3 linked regions of the Lepisosteus oculatus genome follow. The protein of the gene in region 3 purifies or fractionates together with the protein of the main gene of each other region. This does not show direct contact. Links are inferred from orthologs where the notes say so. Each region holds a gene or a part of one and is shown on either strand. Other genes may lie near its edges.

Region 1 (7,135 bases), on a different chromosome or scaffold from region 3:
ATATCCTTCAATCACCTACATTGAAAAAGACATTAAATTCCTTGTACTCCTATACAGCGGAACAGTTTTAAACAAAACCCCAAACAGCTCACAAGCCCCAGGCCACAAAACAGAGGAATGAAAATAAGAAATTATTTTCTTATTACATGTTAGTATTACATGTGTACTTCACGTCCTAAACTGAAGTGGAAAGTGAGTGATTCTACAGGCTCACCTCAGACACTGACAGTCCCATTCTGAGAAGCTCTTCTGCCAGTTCCAGCAGCGCCCCAGCAAACACCAGAACAAAGTTGGTCCCATCCCCAACCTCCTGCTCTTGCATGTGGGAAGCCATGACGATCATTTTAGCTGCAGGGTGCTGAACCTGGTGGGTGCACAAACAAACAAAAAAAAGATCTTATGCACCTTGTTTCTTCTCCAATTCTCACACTGTACACATGTCACTGAATACCTTTCTCCTGCAATGGGGACTTTTATCAAAAGCTTTTTGACAATCTAAATTTACCAATCTAAATATTATATGCTCCATGTGTTTCATTAATTCTGATACTTGTTCAAAGGACTCTATATTCCATATAGGTAATCCTCTAGGTTAATTCTAATAACTAATTCCATAACCTTACATGTAATAGAATTCAGACTAATTGATCTATAATTATTTGGGTCGGTTTGGGCACTTGTCTTATTGATGGGCACTATTCTACAGTTCATGGGTACTATCCCTGTCTTTTTTTAGATTTCACCATTACAACTCCTCTGCCTTTACAACTATAGCATGAAGACTACCTATTTTATTCATATATTATTTTACGTATTCCTAGCCTGACATACAATGATGGAGACAGCAGTAGCACACTCTCTGCTAGAGTACAAAATATTTAAGCCACAGGGTGAAGTACTACATAGACAGTAAAGGTTTAAAAAAAGGAATACTGGTCCTTACAGGCTAAAAGATATTCTGATTTTGTTCAAAATGATATCTAAATTAATTAAGTCAACCGCCTTGTTAATTGATCATAGATAAATTGTTCCAAACCTTTAGGAATATTACCCATAAAAACTTTTGGACTGGGTTCCACATAACCAGAGTTGGAGATCCATCATTAAGAAATTAAAAGTTTCTGCTGATCTCTGTCTTCGGCTTTTCTCACAAAACACTAGTTAAACAATTAGGAATTAAGGCGGTTCAAAAATGAACTAAATACCTCAAGTTCTCGCAGAATAGTTGCAGCATCATTAGTGACAAAGAGCTTTTCCAAGTGGTTGATGACCATTTTATTCATGCCTGAAAAGAAGTAAAAAGGCCCAGATATTAAAAAACAGAATTCTGCATTCCTATAGATTAATATTTATGTGTACTTTTCTGTAGGCTTATAGCATTAAACACACATCCTGAAAATATCAAATCAGTAGTAGTACACCCAGTCACATCTCTTATTTAAAAAACATTTCAAAATTATTCATTATCCATGTAGGTCTTAAATCACAGAATCTCATAAAAAAATAGACTCAACCTCTATTGTAATATTGTATTGGGCACTGATCAAACATCTGATATTGACAAGCACAGTCCAGACCTACCATTTGGACCGTAGGCTGTCCGTGTGGTCTGTGCCAGCTCTTTGCAGGCCTGAATGTTTCGGAAGACTGCCTCCTCCAACCCAGAGTAGTGCTGAAATGAACAGGTTTTAAAAAATAAAACAACTTATTTAAAACAGCTAGCCTAATGATTAACTGAAAATTGATCTGGTCTGCCCTGCATCTGTGAATGCCACTCCTTTCACTGTCATCACCATAACATTTACTAACAATACAATATTTGTTTTGGGAAGTACTGCAAATAAGAGCTATGTCTATACTGTTGTATATGGGACATTCCATACAGACTGTGCCGTGTTCATGGAGCCTAATTATTCCACTAAAACAGGTTATGGAACCAATGATGACCTAACAGTACTAAGCATATATTGTTCACTTCCACACAGAGGTAGTTCAGCCCCCTGAACACATCTGCCATGTGTCAAGCAATTATTTCTGATGTTAACATTTGGATAGCTGTCTCCTGAACTAGAGTAACTGCATGAAAGTGTGTATAAACAAACTACTGTATGGCTGCAGGCATGTATTCCTGTAAATTATTTATTTTACATAGAGTAACAACTTTAAATCAAATTAGGCTTTGTACTGCTTGTGCCATCTTTATCACCTGTGATCAGACTGCATTAACGTTAAACAACAATGCTTCCAGAAATAGCAGTGATAAAACAATAAGCCCAGCATTTACCATAGATTCAATTACAATTTTGAGTTCGAGTCTACTGCCGCGACACTGCTGTAGAATTGACAACAGTTACGGCAACTTTGCCTGGCAACGCCCTGTAGCATCATGCCGAATACGTTTGTGTTGTATATACAATTGTTACTTGAAGTACAGAAGCGTCTAGCGATTTTAAAACAAGCCCTTCTCTATTATAAATCCGAATTAGTCTGAATTCGGAAAATTCAGTTCATGAAAATCAACTGGCGTATGCTTGGTACTAACTGTTCCTCCATGAACAAAAGCGTTAGCAATAATAATACTACGGATTTTAGCTACATTCCTGTTCGAGAGCTGTTTTAACACCGAATGGCAGCTCCCGAAATATCTCCATGTATGGGTAAAAACGGAGTGTCGTCAATGAATGATTTCCACTACGGCTGCCGTTAGAAAGCACATGTCCCTCGTCTTACTGCATTTAGCTACAGTACAGAAAATGCTTAAAGAGGCACTGATTACACAAATATGCTGCAAGATCGTTTAATAAGTTATGATTTACGAGTTATTCGTGCCACAACAACCTACAATTTCAAAAAGCCCGTACAAAACGAGCAAACGAATGCTATATATCACAATAGGATGAACTAATCTAACTGTGGCCTACACAGGCTTTTTCTAGAAGTGTCCCACATGACACAGCGTCCAACCGCACTTCCCTTGCAATTGATACAAAATTGGACATAAAAGGTCATACATAGGTTAATCTTCAAAACAGATGACTAAATGTTCTTTACCTTTGCACCATCCTTTAACATCTGGGCAAAGCCCGGAGCTTTAGGTACGTGAAGAGCCATATTTCAAGTGGTTTTGCTCCCCGGTACAGACAGAAAAAGAACCGGTGCGTGTGCGGAGAGTCAGAACAATCGAGCTACGAGCAAAGGCGGAGCAGGAAAAGTAAATCGAGTATCGAGTTCATCGCTGTAGCTGGTAGTGGGCTGAACCTGTGGATGTGCGTCAACTCGTATACTTTTCATCATGGGATTAACATCTACCTGTTTTTGTTGATGGTAGATTACACTCGTGATTACTTCGTTTCCATCATTATTAATATTTTTTATTCTTGTAAAAAACGTTATTTAAAAAGGCATACAAGTAATTTTAAAAGAGCAATGCCATGTGTATTATTTTATTAAATTGTTTTAGTGATCTTCAAAGCTTTTCTTATAATTTAAACGTCCATATGTGTATTCATTGAAAGGTGTCCCTACTCACCGTACATTTTGAATATGATCACAATCATAATAGGTAAACTATTTTGTTAATAATGGGTGATATGCTGTATTTGTAACAAGGAATGAAACACTTGTATATTGTAACGCTTACGGCCGACAGGCGCTGTGTAAGAGCCGGCGTACCAGAGCGGGTGACGTCACCGCCCTTCCCTGTGATAGCAGGACCACAGCTACTGGGCTGTGGAGAGATCTCTCTTTGGCTCACGGGGCTAGGTCGCTGCAGAGAGACGCGGAAGTCCCGGGTTCGAGCCCCGGACGGTGCAGGGGCCGACCTAATGCGGCAAGGGCGCCCGCCGGAGCCCCCGTTGCGTTACATTGGTGTCAGAAGTGGGATGGGATAGCCCTTCGCCGGGGACGGCGATTTAAGCGGGGGAGAGTGTAACGCTTACGGCCGACAGGCGCTGTGTAAGAGCCGGCGTACCAGAGCGGGTGACGTCACCGCCCTTCCCTGTGATAGCAGGACCACAGCTACTGGGCTGTGGAGAGATCTCTCTTTGGCTCACGGGGCTAGGTCGCTGCAGAGAGACGCGGAAGTCCCGGGTTCGAGCCCCGGACGGTGCAGGGGCCGACCTAATGCGGCAAGGGCGCCCGCCGGAGCCCCCGTTGCGTTACAATATTAAGGATCAAGTAATAGGTTTATTCCATGCTGAAAAGAGAAGAGAGAAAACACAACGTTTCGCCAGTGGAGTCTTCTTCGGGTGTAAAGTGTGGCACATGATGACACCTGAAGAAGGCTCCACTGCCGAAGTGTTGTGTTTTCTCTCTTCTCTTTTCAGCATGGAATAAACCTATTACTTGCTCCTTTGCAGATTGCGCATGCTGATGCAGCTACCCACCTGAACTACTTATATATTAATCCTTAGAGAAAAGTGCTTTAGCCATTATTAAGCAAATATGTCGTGGTGGGTACCCTCTTGATTTAATTTATGTTTTCTTCTTTAAAATCTGTATTTTATATTGCCTGATGATAATCTATGACTTTAAATTAGTGAAGTTGGACAATATTTTAAAAGAGTGGTATCTCTGATGATTCCCGTGAGATAGGGGTGTCATGTATTACATACTGTATAAATACATATAAAAGGCATAATAACTAGGATAAGATGCAGGCTGATGAGTCAATGATCTTGAGTATTAACTTAATTTTATGCACATAATCACTTCAATCAGTCAATTGAGACATCACTCTCAAACAGATTTAGTGTAATTTTTATTTGTACTGTAGGTACATATCCAGTGACTCATGGCCCAACTAGAACTGGTGGACCATTCAAAGGACCATGGACCTTGTCATAAAACACCTAACCTGGATTTAAAGGTAGCACTTGCAACATTGGTAACAGTCAATTAAACACAGCAGAAAAGGTCACAAATGAGAGCCCACTGAGCTCGTTTGGTTCTCTCTTTCTATAGTCACTTAACCAGTACTTGTTGCACTCTCCTTAGCACGGCACCATAAATTGAGAATTTAGTGTAGCCAATCAATCCTAGCCAACATGTCGAGGGGAGGTGGGAGTACACTGGGGCACCTGTTGAAAATCCACATGAACTTGCAGATGGCATGCAACCAGAATTTATCCTGGATCCCTGAGGCAGCAATACTAACCACTATGCCACCATTTCTTCACTACTGCATGTATAGTTACACATTGTAATTTCTGACTGTTTGGTAGTAAAGGTTAACACTGCCCAGCTCTGGTCATGTGTAAATGATCCTAAATGTTTTCTGAACTCAGCAGTATCTTCAGTTTAGTGCTTGCTGAAGTCAATACACTATGCTAAACAAGTCTGTCTGCAAGAGCGGAGTTCTCTGGATTGCGTCGTATTCTCATCATTCTCACTAGGTACTGCCGTTTGGTATCTATTTACAGTATGTGGTCTATAACCTTAATTTAGTCTTAAATTATCATGTTATGGAAACTCTGAACCTGCTCTATACATTGTAAAAAAGGCATATACTGTAGCACAAGGAGGGCAGTGGAGAATTATTTTTAAAGGTTCCAGAGAGGAAAGCCTTGGAAGAAAGACAACCTCAGAACAAAGGGAGAAGGAAGAGTTTTACAGCAAACATGAAAGCTTTTAAGTATGGCACATAACACTGAATTATTTAAAACGAAACGGCAAGACACTTGAAGAAGAAATGTGATGCAGTCATGAGGATCAATGTAATCAGAGGATTAGTTGTGGAGTGTTTTTTCCCTCCTAACTACTGTAGCAACTATTACATGTCTGGATTGTCCATGCATCAAATCAACTGGACATGGATGAGTCCTGTGGCATCTGTTTGATCTGAACTTGCCTTATATTCTCTTGTTGTTGTTTATGTTCAGTTTGTTTTTTTTCTGGGTCATCATACCATGTCAAAGGCAATGCTTCTGTTAGCCCATTCCTCTATGTAGTATTAATTTACATTTTATTTAAAAAAAAAACATTTTTATCCAGCTGGTCCTTTTCTTTTATATGCCGAATGCGTCAGCAGGGAGCATTGCACTGCAAAGGTTAAGGTTGTGCCCAAGTAATTAGGCAGCCTCTTTCTGGTACACTGCATCATTCCAGAGTTATTGCGTTCAGTCCAGCACAACTATGTCACTCAAAGCTGATTGGAGCTGGAGGCATTTTTCGTGTCTAGAGTCATGCCATCTGAGCAATTTAATTGGAACCCAACTGACAGACAGGGGCATGCCGACAACGTCCCTCAGCTGCCAAGCGCTGTCTGTGTTGTAAGCTATCTCAATGTGAACATGTTCGGAGGCGACTGACTGTGTGCAGTGAAGAGCTTGCTAAGCACCCTTCGTGAGAAGGTTTCTCTCAAGACATCCTTGTGAGCATAAACGGGCATTCCCATCAAAAACCGAAGACAAAATCTAAAGCTCACCCACAAAGAAGGGAGACTAGAGTTTAGAAATACACCAGAGAAAGGACGGTTAGTAGCAATATGCAGTCTTTACCCATCTCTGGTCTTAACTTATGAGTGCTGACAGCAGTTGGCTGTCAGATCTTTTGTTTGTAGGAGAGCAAGGCAAACAAGGCTGGCCCTGGTTTTACCTCACCCTTAGGATTGACTTCCTAAAGGTAAGTCAGTGTGAATTAATATTGCCTTTATCCTTTTGTTATTGGACCCTTATTGAAGTACATACTGTATAAATAAACCATGGCATGATAGATTATTGTATCTGGTTAACTTTCACCCAAAATGTGCCTGTAATGTTTAACACAAAGCATCTTCTCTCCTGAACTGGAAACTCTACTGATTTCTAATCAAGTGTCAGAATACTGTGCTGCTCTGTGCCTACTGAGTTTCATTCTCAGCTTCTAGTAGAGAGTAGTTCCTGCCTTCTCTAGCGAGCATGTGTTTTTTAAATAATTTTTCACTGCTACAGTGCTTTGTTGGCATTGGCAGCTTGCAGTCATTCATTTTGATCTGTTTCAAATATAATATTGTCATTTTCAGATGTAGCTGTTAGTTTAATTTTGACAGGCACAAATTCAAATGGAGCCAAATTAGGTCCCTCCTACTTTGAGAAACTTTCTGTTCTGGAACATTTAATATGACAGTTTGTATTCAAACAAAATTGTCTCTACTCAG
Region 2 (7,754 bases), on a different chromosome or scaffold from region 3:
CTTAAAATAGTCAACTGTGTGAGAGGTGAGCCTGTGCAAAGGTCATGGTCTGTAGCTCTGATTAAACAGCTTCCATGGCTACTGCTGGCAGAGGGGACGACAAACAACACCCAGGCAATTTCCATCCTTCAAGTAGAAACGGGCTTTATTAATGCCCTCCCTTTCCCCCAAAGGCGAGTGACTTGTGAACTAATGTTTATCTTAACGCCTGTCTTTACTGAAACAGCAAAACGTGAAATCATTTCACGGGCAGGAGAATAAAAAGGAAACGTAATTAATTCGATGTGGGGGAAAAAACGCAACAGCTGAAGTGCATTCATCAAAATGGGACACTAAACTAGAGGAAGACGGCGCATGTGTGAATACATGTCATTGTGCTGAGAATTCACGCTTTCCAACATTAAAGTTCAACTTGCAGCGCCTTTCACTGCCGATCTCTGGATGCTGGCTCTCTCCTGTGCCCCCAGTAGCAGGAGCTTGGTTCCTGACACTCTGGGGTTGCCATGGTAACACCGAGTTCAAGCGAGAGATGGCTCAGGAATGAGGCTAAACCTCTGTAGCTTTAGCGTTGCGCACTAGTCCCTGGCTCAGACCTAGTCTTAATTTCTCCAAAGAACTGACTGAAATGAGGAGAGTCTAATGTCGAACCAAGACAGGCAGCAATTTTAAGTAGTCACCTATAGTTTTATGCACCAGGCCTTGACTAGATTAGTTAAAAACCTGGGCAGTTTTTTTTTTACTTTAGATCCCTTCAGAAGAAATGCCTCTCAACGAGACAAGGCTCCTACTATGATAAATAATGCTAATTAGCTCAACGTGAGGAATTCTTAAGAGCCCCGAGAGCACTTATTAGGAAACTGCTTTTTAGGCTGGGGAATGAAGAACTGTCCTTCTCTGTGAGGAGACCCACTGGGAAATGGGAGCCAGCAAGAGCAGAGACCTTTTCTTTTTATTCTATATGATTTTCTTCGCGTGACTGAGGTCTTCAGCAAACTGGAAACCAGGAATGATAAAGAAATATCAAATGAAACCATTTTGCAATTTTACTTTGGAAAGATGGGGGATGGAGAGACAGGAGAAAGGCCGCAGAGAACAGCTCGTCTGCCCAGCCCCCCCACCCGGTCCCACCCCCCTCGCCCTTTTGAACCGGCATCCTGTTGGACTCACCGTATCTGTCCCTGGCGATCGTGAAACTCTGCACGCGGCAGGACCACCCCAGGGCTGGAGTGGATCACCACAGGCATCCGGTACTCCAGGTAGGCAGTCTGGAGCCACCAGTCCGAGAGCTGCAGGGAGAGACACACACACAATCAGGCCCCCCCGCGCACAGTTACAGTCCGATATCTCTCTGCACACCAGCTCACAAACAGTCACAGCTAGTCTTTCGTACAGGCAGAGCAGAACCAGAACTCGGTTCGCCCTTGATCTCGGTTCTGGCCCGGCGTGTGGTAGAATGTCCTACTCTTGTTACGACTGCCAGAGAACAGACCGGAGCGCCGAAGGGATGTGCACCATGAGAGACGCAGAAAGCACGAAGCGACTGACCCTGCAGTCCCCGAGAACGTGCTACTTATAAGCCCTGATATCTTAGAGTCGTTCACCTCTGAGCTTACCCCCAGTTAAAACGAAATAAAGAACTGCATCAGAAAAGCTGAGCCAGGAGGCTTTTTTAATTTCATTCATCCAAAGATATCTGCTACAACACAAAAACTACATGTGCTGTGCAAGATCTGAAAACCTGCATCATGCCACTGTTCGACAGGGAAGCCTGAAATCCCTCTACATCCATCAGTTCATTATCAGAGATGACCAGAAAGCCGATTATTCCTGGTGAGTGTCGGCGCAGCCTAGGGGGCAGGAGACAGGACTACACCCTGGACTGGCCCACCACAGGGCAGACACACGTGTACATACAGACGCGCACACTGATGCACACATTGACGAGCACACTGACGCACACACATGTACATACAGACGCACATATTGATGCGCACACACATGCACAAACATATGCACAGACAATTCAAGGAAACCCCCGACCCAGCCAGCGCATCTCTGGAAGGAGGAGGAAACGGAGGCTAACAGTTTAGCGTTATTAAACTTGCGACTTATCGAACGCCTGGACTTCACCCGTCTGAAACGAGGGAAGACGGGAGGACAGAGGGCAATGCTTCGAGGCCTGCTCAGGACGTCCAGCTGCACTGACCCAGTTCTCCATCTTGCGGGCGCGGCGCTCCAGGCCCCTCTGCAGCCTCTCGCCCACGCCCCCGGGCCGCTGGAAGTCCTCGACCAGGCCGCGGGTGTGCTCCAGCTCCTCGGCGCTCACGACGGGCCGCAGGGCCAGCAGGTAGCGCTCCAGGGTCTGCCGCAGGGGCGGCACCGGCAGCTTGGGGAGCCCCTCCTGGTGCGCCAGGTACCGGCCGGGGATCCGGGTCACCGACACGGGACTCACCAGGGCCGCGGGCTTCCACGCGGCCTGCTTAGCCTGCAAAAAAAAAATTCCATTCCATTCAATTCAATTCAATTACTTTTAATATAGCGCCTTTCACAACAAGGTGGCCCCAAGGTGCTTAACAAAGCCGTGCGACGGTACATAACGTCGTAATACAGAAAGAGAAGAAGCCAGAAGACAACGGAGGAGAGGAACCAAGACCTCCTCTGGAAGGAGAACAACACCCCCTCTGGGGGGTCAAAGGTTAACCGGCTGCCCAACCCCAAAAACCAAGTTATGGGGGTGACAGTCCAGTTTCCCCACCCAGAGGCGAGACCCTCCCCCCTCCCCGTTAGAATCCCGGTTCCTCCAGGGAGATAGCAGCTGTTTCACTGCCGGGGGGGATTTTATTTTCAAGAGGACTTTGCCACACGCTCGCAGAAGAAATCCCGACGTCGGCCCCGGATTATACATTAAACACTCGCCCTCTGGTCTTGCGTGTCCCCATTTGGACTTTGGACAGAGAGTTTCCAGCAATGTGAATCCTCGCTTTTAGCGACGAGGTGCAGAACAGCTCCCACACACACACACACGCACACGGGTGGGCAGGACACCCGACACCGGCGCGAGCCACAGCAGGGTTCGAGACCGAGGACCTGGCACACCGCACGAGAACCATAAATAACATCCCGCAATAAAAAGCGACCCTCCCCCCCTCACAACTTCTAAAAAATAACCTTCACATGTTGTTAACCGCCAGTACAATGCGACGTTTACGACACGTTATTAAACGCACAGTCGTTGGCAACAGCGATATTAAAACGACGCGACACGGAGCTGCATTCAAACTGTACACAACTGCGTGCAACTGTCACTGGGTTCAAGGCACTGGACAAACTCCCTCCTAGAAAGAAGAAAACGACGGGCTAGTCAATTATTACGGAATATTACAGCCTCGAGAACCGCGAAGGCTTCGGTTAAATACCACAAAATGTACCATGTTTGCGAGTTGCGCAGAAAAGTCGGTCTGTCACAGCTCCGAGCCTCTTACAGTGGCGAGTTTTCGCGAGAGACGTTACCGCAGCTACGTTGTAAACACAGAAGAGCTCTTTTTGAGTTTTTCGCCCCTTTCGTTTTCGCTTTATAAAGCCGTTTTCTAGCGCTGAAAACGCCTGGGATAAATTCAAGCGACACAATCCACATTCGGAGATGTACAAAATAAGGAACCCCCCCGCGTGTCTTGCGTGTCGTGCTTACTCACCATCGCTCTGGCTAAAAAACCCAGCATATTTCGCAGAAACGCCCCCAAAGTACAGGAGTGACCGGCTCTCTCTGGCTGTCAAGCTTCAAGGACGGGCAGGTTACAATGCTGCACATTACCCTCCTGTTGATAAAATGTGCCCCGCAAAATCATGGACAGCCAGGGCTCAACTTGCCCCGCAATGACGCAAACATCCGGCGACTTCGCTTCTGTGACGCACAATACATTCGACCTGGAGAGTCGTGTTTTTAAAGCTAACCGTCCAGTATTGAACATTGAACTTTGTTTTTGTCCCTGTTCTAGATAATTTAGCAGATGTAAATGGATATTTCTTTTTTTTGGGGGGGAGGGGGGGGGCGTGATGGGAGATTATTTTAACACAACCAATAATACGATGCACCGTTGCTCTCATAATATTTTACAGAAAAATACAACTTTCTCCACAAAAATATCAGTAACTCAAAAAACATTTCAGGAAGCGTGGAGTAAACACGTGTTCCATGTACGTAAACACCTTTATGAAAATAAGTATTTTATATATTGCATTAATAGATACAAGTGTTGTATGCAAAAATTTAATATGGATTTTTTGCAAAGGGTGCAAAACATTAGTGTAGGTTTAATATATTGAATATCTACTGCATTTCAGCACGTCCTACAACAATTTAAAATAGTGACCCTACAGTGCTGTAACTGTATCTTAGGGCTTCGGAAAGGCCTCGATTTCACTCCTCCGAGACCGTGTTTTTACCCCCGCAAGAACGTGGTTTCCTCTCAGCACACGGTGCTAAAGCGGTGCAGCTCCACTGTTCCTAAAATCTCTGAAGACAGAACGAGGCGACGCCGGCGCTCTGCGGTGCGCTCGCGGCGTGTGACCCAAAACAAAATACGACACGGGTCAAAGGTGAAAGGTCGGCTCGCCCGTGCTGCCTCGCCTCTCTTGGAAACATGGCGGAGACCGAGCAGTCGTCAGGTAAGCTGACGGCTCCGTGCACGCCGGGGGCTGTTGACAGGGAGGCGCGGGGGCCCTTGTCAACCCTCAGTGGGCCGTCCGGAGGAGGGGGGGGGTCTTCAGAAATAAAGGGAAACTTTTAACCCCCTCCTACCACAGAGTAGTACAACTGCAGCCGAAATCGACATCCCGGCGGACTGGGATCTCCTTCGGCTCCGCTCTCGGGTTTTTTTTTTAAACGTTTGGCGGGGGGCACCTTTTCTCATTTCCCCGCCGAGGTGGGGTTTCCGGGGGCTCGCCTGGAAGGGCTGTCGCCCAGGGAGGGTGGAGGGGAGCCCCCCCAGCCCCCGGTTCTCGGGGCTAGGAGCCTGTCGGTACCGCCTGCATCACCGGTCCGGTCTCCGCGGGTGTTGCGGTTTCCTGGGAATGAAAACCGACAGGCCACTATTCGGCTACCTTAAAATGCGTTATTTGTAGCGGTGGCCGGCAAGTAATTTTTTTTAAATCGTTTAGAAACGCGGTACGTACGTTTAGCATCAGCGAGGAAGTGGCCGCTAACCAACGAGGAGAGAGAGAGACTCGGAGCAGCGCCAGCCGCCTTAATTAAAAAAAATAATAATTCACTTTTCACGAACGGCGACTTCTCGTCTCTCTCGGAGCGAGTTTTTCCAACTTTTTTTCTTTGCCCTGTGGTAGAAATGAAGCTAGTTGTTTTACGAGGCAATGAGTTCATCGTTTGCTTGCGAAATCGTGGACCTGGGCTGTATTCTTGAATGAAGTTGGAGGTTTTTAAGACCTAGCTCGTAAACGCACCCCATCACTGTCCTGGACCGACGAGTGTGTCCGCGTTGTGTTTTGGGGATGTGCTGTCAGTGTCCCACCGAGAATGGGAGATAAAAACAGTGGGCACGCCAACAAACGTTAAGAAAAAGCATTTGCGATTGATGTAACTGCCTCAGAAGACTGCTGTTTGACAGTGACACTGTGCTTATTGTGTGCATTGGACAAGGCTGCACCGTATTACACAACAATCATACGTTTGATTTCATCTAGTTCCCTTATTATGTACACAGCTACTGTGCTTGACTTAGTGGCAGGAAGGACCTGCTATTGTGGACGTTTGATAATGTCTAAGCAAAATTTATTACCAGCATTTTGTACAGGAGGTGAGCCTGGGACAAATATCTAGTTTGGAACTAAACGTAGGTGACTTCATGCAACACTCCACTCAAGATGCAGCTCTTTCACGGTTAGGGACGGTTGAGATTGTTTCTGAACGTCGGCAAGTGTTTTGGGTTTTTTTTCCTGGATCAAGGGCTTTGTTTCGCCAAACCAAACCAGAAATCCTGTTGTTTTCTCGCGTGCAGGAGGTGACAGCTGTGGTTTGGTGTCAGAGCTGCAGGGCGCTTTGTGTCTGATTTCCTCTCGCATGCGAGAGACGTGTTGGTCTCCCGATGGGAGAGGGGTGTCTGTTTCTACAGCATCAGGGCTGTATCGGTCTAGCCTGTCTGACAAGCCATGGCTGTTGGATCATGGGCCAGTGGAAACGCTCCCAGGAACAGAATCGGAATAAGATTCCCTTGTCATGACAGTTCTCCACAATAGTTGCTTGCTGAACACTTGTTGTTGGGTTGTTTGGGTCCTCTTATTCCTCTGGTGTGTTTGTGCAGGCCCACGCTCAGTTCCACAAAACACCTTATCCTTGAATTTTCCTTGAGTTTGTACCCGAAATCTCTTTTTGTCTTTCTTGCTCAAGGCAGGTTTGATGCCCGTCGTTGAGTAAAGGTGTCCTGTTTATTTCGTTAGGTGTTCAGTCCTTAAGGTGCTGTATGCTGCCCAGGTCTGATCCCTTGTACCCAGAAGAGGGGAGTGGAGGAACACTGTGTCTGTGGGTCTTCATGAGCTCTACATCTCCAGTGCTGAGTCATGACTTAAGTGATTTGACACCTTGTTTGGACTTCGGTTTATCTTGTGGGGGGGCGTGTCCGTTTCTACAGCGGTCGTAGTTTTTGTTGGATCGGGCTGCATCAGTCTGGTGCCTCGGTTTCCGAAAACGGCTCGCAGCTGGATCCGTGACTGCTGGATCATCCTCTCTGAGTGCCCGCTGCTTGCTGGGGTTCTGAGGACGCAGAGGAGGGAATGGCGCCGGCCCCCTTTCCTCAACTGAGGAGAGAAAACATCACTGCGGCGGTATATTGAAAAAAAAAAAGAAATGATTATTTTGCAGTGGATTCGATGAATCGGGAGGCTGTAGGCTGAACTGCTAGCTGGGGAGGGTGTTGCCCTCACACCAGCACATTGGGAATTCTGGCCCTGTAACTCTAATACCGAGCTGCTCTGCACTTGCCAATCTTGCCCCCCCTTTAATGCATGTCATCGAGCGTGCCAAAATAACAGAAGGAATAATAAAGCTCATATTTTATTTATGCGTGTTGGCGATCAGGTTCGCAGCCCTAAGGGGCATGCATTTTGTGCGTCACCTGCCGTTTTGAAAGCGACTCCGGGGTGGAAGTTACGAGTCCCCCTTTGTTATGCAGCTGCGGTGGACTGGTGTCGCGTTCAGGCTGTGTCCCGCCTTGAGCCCGAGGCTCCGGCTCCACTGCGACCCTGGATTGCATGAAGCAGATCGGAAGTGGGTGGATGGAGGTCGCGTGGCTGACTCGCACTTTGTCAACCTGCCTTTCTTTCTCTGTGCCACGTTCAGCTCGACGCTCTCTTCCACAGACTGCCCCACACTGCCAGACTCTCACTCCTGTACCAGCAGTCAGAGCTCCCTGCGACTCACCACTGGCAGCCCCACTGGAGCTCAGCAGGTGTGAGCCTGGCCAGTACCTGGATGGGAGACCTCCTGGGAAAAACTGAGGTTGCTGCTGGAAGAGGTGTTAGTGGGGCCAGTAGAGGGCGCTCTCCCTGCAGTCTTTGTGGGCCCTAATGCCCCAGCAGAGTGACGGGGATACTATGCTGTAAAAAAAAAAGGCACCGTCCTATGAATGAAACGTAAAACCGAGGTCCTGACTCTCCATGGCAGGGCACTTCTAGAAAAGAGTTGGGGTGTTACCCCGGCATCCTGGCTAAATTTCCCCCTGGCCTTTACCAATCATGGCCTCCTC
Region 3 (7,218 bases):
GGAGACCAGTCCCTGCCCTGTGAGGGGCTCTCCAGACACACAGACCCCAGCAGGAGAGCAGGGGCTCCTCACAGGTAGAGGAGACCAGTCCCTGCGCTGTGAGGGGCTCTCCAGACACACAGACCCCAGCAGGAGAGCAGGGGCTCCTCACAGGTAGAGGAGACCAGTCCCTGCGCTGTGAGGGGCTCTCCACACACACACAGACCCCAGCAGGAGAGCAGGGGCTCCTCACAGGTAGAGGAGACCAGTCCCTGCGCTGTGAGGGGCTCTCCAGACACACAGACCCCAGCAGGAGAGCAGGGGCTCCTCACAGGTAGAGGAGATCAGTCCCTGCGCTGTGAGGGGCTCTCCAGACACACAGACCCCAGCAGGAGAGCAGGGGCTCCTCACAGGTAGAGGCCAGTCCCTGCGCTGTGAGGGGCTCTCCAGACACACAGACCCCAGCAGGAGAGCAGGGGCTCCTCACAGGTAGAGGAGATCAGTCCCTGCGCTGTGAGGGGCTCTCCAGACACACAGACCCCAGCAGGAGAGCAGGGGCTCCTCACAGGTAGAGGAGACCAGTCCCTGCGCTGTGAGGGGCTCTCCAGACACACAGACCCCAACAGGAGAGCAGGGGCTCCTCACAGGTAGAGGAGACCAGTCCCTGCGCTGTGAGGGGCTCTCCAGACACACAGACCCCAGCAGGAGAGCAGGGGCTCCTCACAGGTAGAGGAGACCAGTCCCTGTGCTGTGAGGGGCTCTCCAGACACACAGACCCCAGCAGGAGAGCAGGGGCTCCTCACAGGTAGAGACCAGTCCCTGCGCTGTGAGAGGCTCTCCAGACACACAGACCCCAGCAGGAGAGCAGGGGCTCCTCACAGGTAGAGGAGATCAGTCCCTGCGCTGTGAGGGGCTCTCCAGACACACAGACCCCAGCAGGAGAGCAGGGGCTCCTCACAGGTAGAGGAGACCAGTCCCTGTGCTGTGAGGGGCTCTCCAGACACACAGACCCCAGCAGGAGAGCAGGGGCTCCTCACAGTTAGAGGAGACCAGTCCCTGCGCTGTGAGAGGCTCTCCAGACACACAGACCCCAGCAGGAGAGCAGGGGCTCCTCACAGGTAGAGGAGATCAGTCCCTGCGCTGTGAGGGGCTCTCCAGACACACAGACCCCAGCAGGAGAGCAGGGGCTCCTCACAGGTAGAGGAGACCAGTCCCTGCACTGAGAGGGGCTCTCCAGACACACAGACCCCAGCAGGAGAGCAGGGGCTCCTCACAGGTAGAGACCAGTCCCTGCGCTGTGAGGGGCTCTCCAGACACACAGACCCCAGCAGGAGAGCAGGGGCTCCTCACAGGTAGAGGAGACCAGTCCCTGCGCTGTGAGGGGCTCTCCAGACACACAGACCCCAGCAGGAGAGCAGGGGCTCCTCACAGGTAGAGGAGACCAGTCCCTGCGCTGTGAGGGGCTCTCCAGACACACAGACCCCAGCAGGAGAGCAGGGGCTCCTCACAGGTAGAGGAGACCAGTCCCTGCGCCGTGAGGGGCTCTCCAGACACACAGACCCCAGCAGGAGAGCAGGGGCTCCTCACAGGTAGAGGAGACCAGTCCCTGCGCTGTGAGGGGCTCTCCAGACACACAGACCCCAGCAGGAGAGCAGGGGCTCCTCACAGGTAGAGGAGACCAGTCCCTGCGCTGTGAGGGGCTCTCCAGACACACAGACCCCAGAAACACTGAACACTCACTAGGAATGGGTGAGACTTGTGGGTGAGTGAATGGGTGAGACCCAGGAAGACGGGCCGCAGGAACTTTGTTTACTTTGTCCCGGCTGGAGAAATCTGCTCTGCAGGGCAGGCGAGTCAAGACGACGGATCAACACAGCCCCAGTCCCCGACCACTGCACGGCAGATCCCCCGTCACACACCCTGCTGCCCGGCTCCTCTCTCTCTCGTCGGAACCACCGACGTTTGTCCAGAAAACGGAACTTGCGGTGCAGGACAGTCCCTGAATCCTTATAATCGCCCCCATCTCCCTGGACCAGTACCGGTACCGGCCCGCCCGTCCACCCCCCGGTAAACAACACCGCGTCTCACAGACAGCCGGGCGGCAGCGGCTCGTCCGGGTTCGGCTGCAGGTCCAGTCTCGGCCCGGTCCAGTCCCGGCGGCGGGACACACACACACACGTACACGCGCGCGTTCCCGCGCTCTCCCGCCCCGGGGCTCCGCGAGCCGGGCGGCCTCACGGCGCCATCTTGGAGCGACTCCGCTCGGCCTCCTCGCCGCCTCCGCCCGGCCTGTCCCCCCGCCGGGGCCCGGCTCGCCGCCGCGGCCCGGCCGGGGGCCCAGGGCGCTCCGCTCCGCTCCAGCAGCGGCCCTCCAGCCCGGCGGCCCGGCCCGGCCCGGGAGCGGGGAGCGACTCGACCCCCCCCGGGCCCGGCGCCTCCGCCGCCGCCGCCAGCCCCCCCAATACACACAAACCGGCTCAGAAACCCCTCGGCCCCCGGGGAGCGGCCTTACCTCGGCGTCCAGGGGCCGGCAGGGCAGCAGCAGCAGCAGCACCGATAGCAGCGGACTCGTCTCTGTCCGGGAGTCGGGAGGCCGGTCGTGCGCAGATCCGCGTCTGTCTCCCCGCTGCGCTCGGCCGGCTGGAGCTCCGCTTCCTCTCCGCCCTCGGGGACGCGCGGCGGCGGCGGCGGCGGCGCGCACGCAGGGCTTCCGGTGTCGGGAGCGAGGCTCGCTCCCGGGCACGGGCACTCGTCCGGGGACGCGCAAGAGCAGGGATTATTGGCGGCGGCGGCCGACGGGCTGTGGTTTCAGCGGCTCCTCCGCCTCCTCCCTCTTATATGCGCTCTGGTCCTCGACGCCACCGCCGGCAGCCCCCCGGCTCCTGTTGAAATTGCTAACAGCCCGCAGCAGCGCTGGTTAGGGAACGAGGTCGCTCATTCGAGGTTCAGGGGTTCGGGCCTGAAGCGCCACCTGAACCCCATTCCTTAATAAGTCACGGAGCACGCAGGAAAATCGAGGTTTTTTTTTTTGTTTTGCTTAAGAAAAGCCAGGGGTGTTCATCCTTACAGCCCTGTTAGTATTAACTAGTTAGCCCTTCTTCCATTTTGGTAAAAATTAAAAACAACAACAACAACAACAATAACACGTTAAAAAAAAAGTTTTTTCTCCCCGCTCTTGCTCGCACGGGCGAGAACAACCACAAGATGGCGCCGGAGCGCCAACCTCAAGGCGCGAGCCCCGTGCCGGGCAGGGGGCAGGAAATGACGCAACAAGGGCGGTGGAGGGGGGGGGGACGCCCGCCGCGGCTGGGATGACGTCAGCCCGCCCGAAAGGCGCCGGAGCTGAGCCTCAGCCCCTCTGCAGGCGAGGAGGCGGTGCTGACACCCCTGGGGTACAGAGTGGGGTACAAACTGGAGGGGTCTCCTCTCTCTGCAGGCGAGGAGGCGGTGCTGACACCCCTGGGGTACAGAGTGGGGTACAAACTGGAGGGGTCTCCTCTCTCTGCAGGCGAGGAGGCGGTGCTGACACCCCTGGGGTACAGAGTGGGGTACAAACTGGAGCGAGGGGGGTCTGTCAAGGGAGAGGCTGGACAGATGGACACACACTCCCCTGCGGGCCAGCAGGCACAAAGCCCTTTGCTGGTGCTGGCGCAGAAAGAACGAGCCTGGCAGGTGATCAACTGCTCGTTCCACACTCCCACCACTCTCTGTGCAAGGACAGGCTCAGTGACCACAGCCTGGACACACACACACTGGACACAGGCAGACCTGGCTGTCCAGAGAGGACAGGCTCAGAGACACAGCCTGGACACACACACTGGACACAGGCAGACCTGGCTGTCCAGAGAGGACAGGCTCAGAGACACAGCCTGGACACACACACACTGGACACAGGCAGACCTGGCTGTCCAGAGAGGACAGGCTCAGAGACACAGCCTGGACACACACACTGGACACAGGCAGACCTGGCTGTCCAGAGAGGACGGGCTCAGTGACACAGCCTGGACACACACACTGGACACAGGCAGACCTGGCTGTCCAGAGAGGACGGGCTCAGTGACACAGCCTGGACACACACACTGGACACAGGCAGACCTGGCTGTCCAGAGAGGACAGGCTCAGAGACACAGCCTGGACACACACACTGGACACAGGCAGACCTGGCTGCCCAGAGAGGACAGGCTCAGTGACCACAGCCTGGACACACACACTGGACACAGGCAGACCTGACTGTCCAGAGAGGACAGGCTCAGAGACCACAGCCTGGACACACACACTGGACACAGGCAGACCTGGCTGTCCAGAGAGGACAGGCTCAGAGACACAGCCTGGACACACACACTGGACACAGGCAGACCTGGCTGCCCAGAGAGGACAGGCTCAGAGACACAGCCTGGACACAGGCAGACCTGGCTGTCCAGAGAGGACAGGCTCAGAGACACAGCCTGGAAATACACACTGGACACAGGCAGACCTGGCTGTCCAGAGAGGAAATAATAATCAACAACATCAACATCATCACTTTATTAACCCTTCACAATTTCTTGCATTAGGAATGATCTTTTCACATACCCCAGCTTGCTCTCCATGAGACACACAGACAGAGAGAGAGCCTGGGGTCAGAGCGCAGGGTCAGCCATTGTACAGTGCCCCTGGAGCAGTTGGGGTGAAGGGCCTCGCTCAGGAGCCTAACAGAGTAGGATTCCTCTGCCGGCTACAGGATTTTGTTGTAACAGAAGAAATAAGGTTCTTGATCCCGAGATGAAGTGAAACAGATGAGTTTATTGCATGCAAGGAACAATAAAGCCGAAGTCTTGTTTCCCGCAAGAAACAACAAAACCGAAGTATTGTTCTCCGTATTGTTACAAACTTTTGGGTTATATAGTGTCTTCTTCTCCGTTTCTGACGTCACTCGGTCTGATGGTAAAGAGGGGGGTTCATGGTATTTGGCCAGTTTACGATGTTCTGGGCAAATGGTCAGTTTAACATTACACCCAGGGGGGTTCCTAGCTGGCATCTGCACTCCTTATCAGTGAACCCCCTTTCCTGCCATAAACCCCAGCTTGTGACTTGGAAGTCTAAACCCCCTACAGAAAAGATTAAATTCAAACCCCCGTCTTCACATCTTTCTTCATTCCCCCCTTATAAAATATGGCATACGTCAGTGTAGCCTATTTTATACATACAATGTCAGGGCAGATCTTTCCTTTCTTGGCGAACAGGTATGTATTGCCATGACATTGTACGTTCCACGGTTATGGCAAGATGTGATACATGTTTTTGTGCACGTGATGATTACAATTATACATATAAACAATACTACTCCTACAGATAAACACTATAAAAAGGTTCCACCCCAGGCCCCAAACACAGACTTTACCCAAAACCCAATTCCCCAATTTTCAGTATAATAGTCCTGATATTTCTGTCCCTCATTGTAAATGTGTTGGGCCAGATCTGAGATGTGCTCAGAATTATCAGGAATATATGTGCAGCATTCAGTGCCAATTACTGCACAAGTTCCTCCTTGGGCCGCCAGTACATAATCTAAAGCTAGTCGGTTCTGCATGGCCACTGTTCTGAGGGCTACCATCTCATCATTAACAGCCTTCAGACTAGATGAGGTAGACTTTGCTAATTCTTCTAAAGTCGAGGCCATTTGAATTAACTCTCGACTCAGAAAGTTCATGCCGGCTTGTGGAAATATTATACCTAAATAATATTCCCAATCAGCCAATTTTCTTTGTGGTCTGTGGTTAGGTCCGAAGGGGCTGTGGGTTTGAACACGGATATGAGGAACCACATATCCTAAATAACATGAGCCAGACCACTGGGCTGGCAGCCATGGGTAGGCTCGTTTTCCACAAATGAAATATGTTCCGTTTGGCGCTCCCCATGCCTCTGAAAATAAGAAGCTTATACCGAATTGTGGGGTGTGCCGATCCCATCCTGGAATTTGGGAGGTAGAGGTGGATATATTTGCAGCGCTGGTAAGGTTGCAACGACTCCATCCAACCAAGTGCAGACCAATTAGTGTGCTGAAAACATATGTTTCCCTCACGTTCCTTATTGAGAGTCAGGTATGGTGGTGTATGGCTTCTGTTATATTTAGGAGCGTAAGAGCCTGTGAAACTCGTGGGCTCTAAGCCTCGCTCCTGTAGATACTGTAATGTTGTGCAGGTTAAAGTCGTGTTATGGCAACCCCCATAGTTTGTCATATTAAAATCTCCTAAATTATCCCTCCAAATGATCATGCCTATGACTTCCTCGCGACGCCAAGTAATGGCTCCCATAGGAAGTCCTCCCTGTACATATTTGGGTAATGCGGCACACACCCAGCAGGCACTTTGGTTGGTTTTCTTAGCTGTCAGATAGGAGAGGCCTAAAAAGGAATTAATTCCATGTTCTCCTTTGTGGGAGAGATGATCATGAATCCCTGCGGAACATAGTCCTACAGCAACAATTATTGTTATAAACAGAAATGATTTCATTCTGAGTCTGTAAATGGGGATGAGGCTCGTCGGCAGTGTGGCGCGTGGATCCAGCGATCTTTTCCTTCCACTCGAACCGCAGACTCGGTTGTCAACAGGATCTGGATCCCACCTGGGCTGGAGAACCTGTGAAGGAAATTTCCTGATCCACACCCACTCTCCTGGGATGAGCTTGTGCCCTCCTTCAGGTGGTGGTCCCCACGCCTCCAGGACCTGCTCGCGGGCTCCTTGGGTGGCCTCTGTCAGCTACTTGCAATAATACAAAGGAATGGTTGATCCCTCTGAGGAAACCCCAGTCTCAGCACCTGTAAGAGAACTTGTTTCAAATTATTAAAGGCGGCTTTTGCTGCAGGAACCAAGGCAATCTTGTCCTTGTACTGCACTCCCCCCTTAAGCAGATCTGTTAAGAGTTGTGCTCACCCTGCAAAAAACATATTACCCAGGCCCTGTTAAAATTTCACAATGCTAGACACAAAAGGGCCTTATCATAACTGCTTCTATTAGACACTCTAAAGCTGAAGCAACTCAGACTTGTGGGTTTCCTCGTCAGGGGAAGCACTCAGAATACCATCAACATACTGAGTGATCACAGCCAGTTGAAGCCACGTGATACCCTGTTCTGCATAGTCATTCTTTGTAATGCATAATATTTCAACCCAATAGATCTGGGATCAAACCACCCATTAAAATCTGGTACTCGGCAAGTAAAACTTGCTGTCCCAATACTCCTGTGGCCTCCTGCCATCTT

Evidence for each region.
Region 1: the proteins of ppp4cb (region 3) and cct8 purify together in Homo sapiens (affinity purification with mass spectrometry; 3 studies listed by BioGRID and IntAct, with this or other methods). This does not show direct contact. The link is inferred for Lepisosteus oculatus from reciprocal best matches to the Homo sapiens genes PPP4C and CCT8.
Region 2: the proteins of ppp4cb (region 3) and ptpa purify together in Homo sapiens (affinity purification with mass spectrometry; 3 studies listed by BioGRID and IntAct, with this or other methods). This does not show direct contact. The link is inferred for Lepisosteus oculatus from reciprocal best matches to the Homo sapiens genes PPP4C and PTPA.

What each region holds. Positions count from the first base shown.
Region 1 is NC_090700.1:19,415,889-19,423,023, forward strand, and holds the start of cct8 (T-complex protein 1 subunit theta), read right to left. Parts: upstream 3,198-7,135; 5' UTR 3,112-3,197; coding exon 3,052-3,111; intron 1,673-3,051; coding exon 1,582-1,672; intron 1,286-1,581; coding exon 1,206-1,285; intron 365-1,205; coding exon 215-364; intron 16-214; coding exon 1-15. UniProt on the Homo sapiens protein: Component of the chaperonin-containing T-complex (TRiC), a molecular chaperone complex that assists the folding of actin, tubulin and other proteins upon ATP hydrolysis.
Region 2 is NC_090719.1:2,588,303-2,596,056, forward strand, and holds the start of ptpa (serine/threonine-protein phosphatase 2A activator), read left to right. Parts: upstream 1-4,557; 5' UTR 4,558-4,640; coding exon 4,641-4,665; intron 4,666-7,754. Other genes in the region: crata (carnitine O-acetyltransferase), read right to left, coding at 1,168-1,286, 2,207-2,485, 3,693-3,719. UniProt on the Homo sapiens protein: PPIases accelerate the folding of proteins. It catalyzes the cis-trans isomerization of proline imidic peptide bonds in oligopeptides. Acts as a regulatory subunit for serine/threonine-protein phosphatase 2A (PP2A).
Region 3 is NC_090699.1:2,941,034-2,948,251, forward strand, and holds the start of ppp4cb (serine/threonine-protein phosphatase 4 catalytic subunit B), read right to left. Parts: upstream 3,092-7,218; 5' UTR 2,492-3,091; intron 1-2,491. UniProt on the Homo sapiens protein: Protein phosphatase that is involved in many processes such as microtubule organization at centrosomes, maturation of spliceosomal snRNPs, apoptosis, DNA repair, tumor necrosis factor (TNF)-alpha signaling, activation of c-Jun N-terminal kinase MAPK8, regulation of histone acetylation, DNA damage checkpoint signaling, NF-kappa-B activation and cell migration.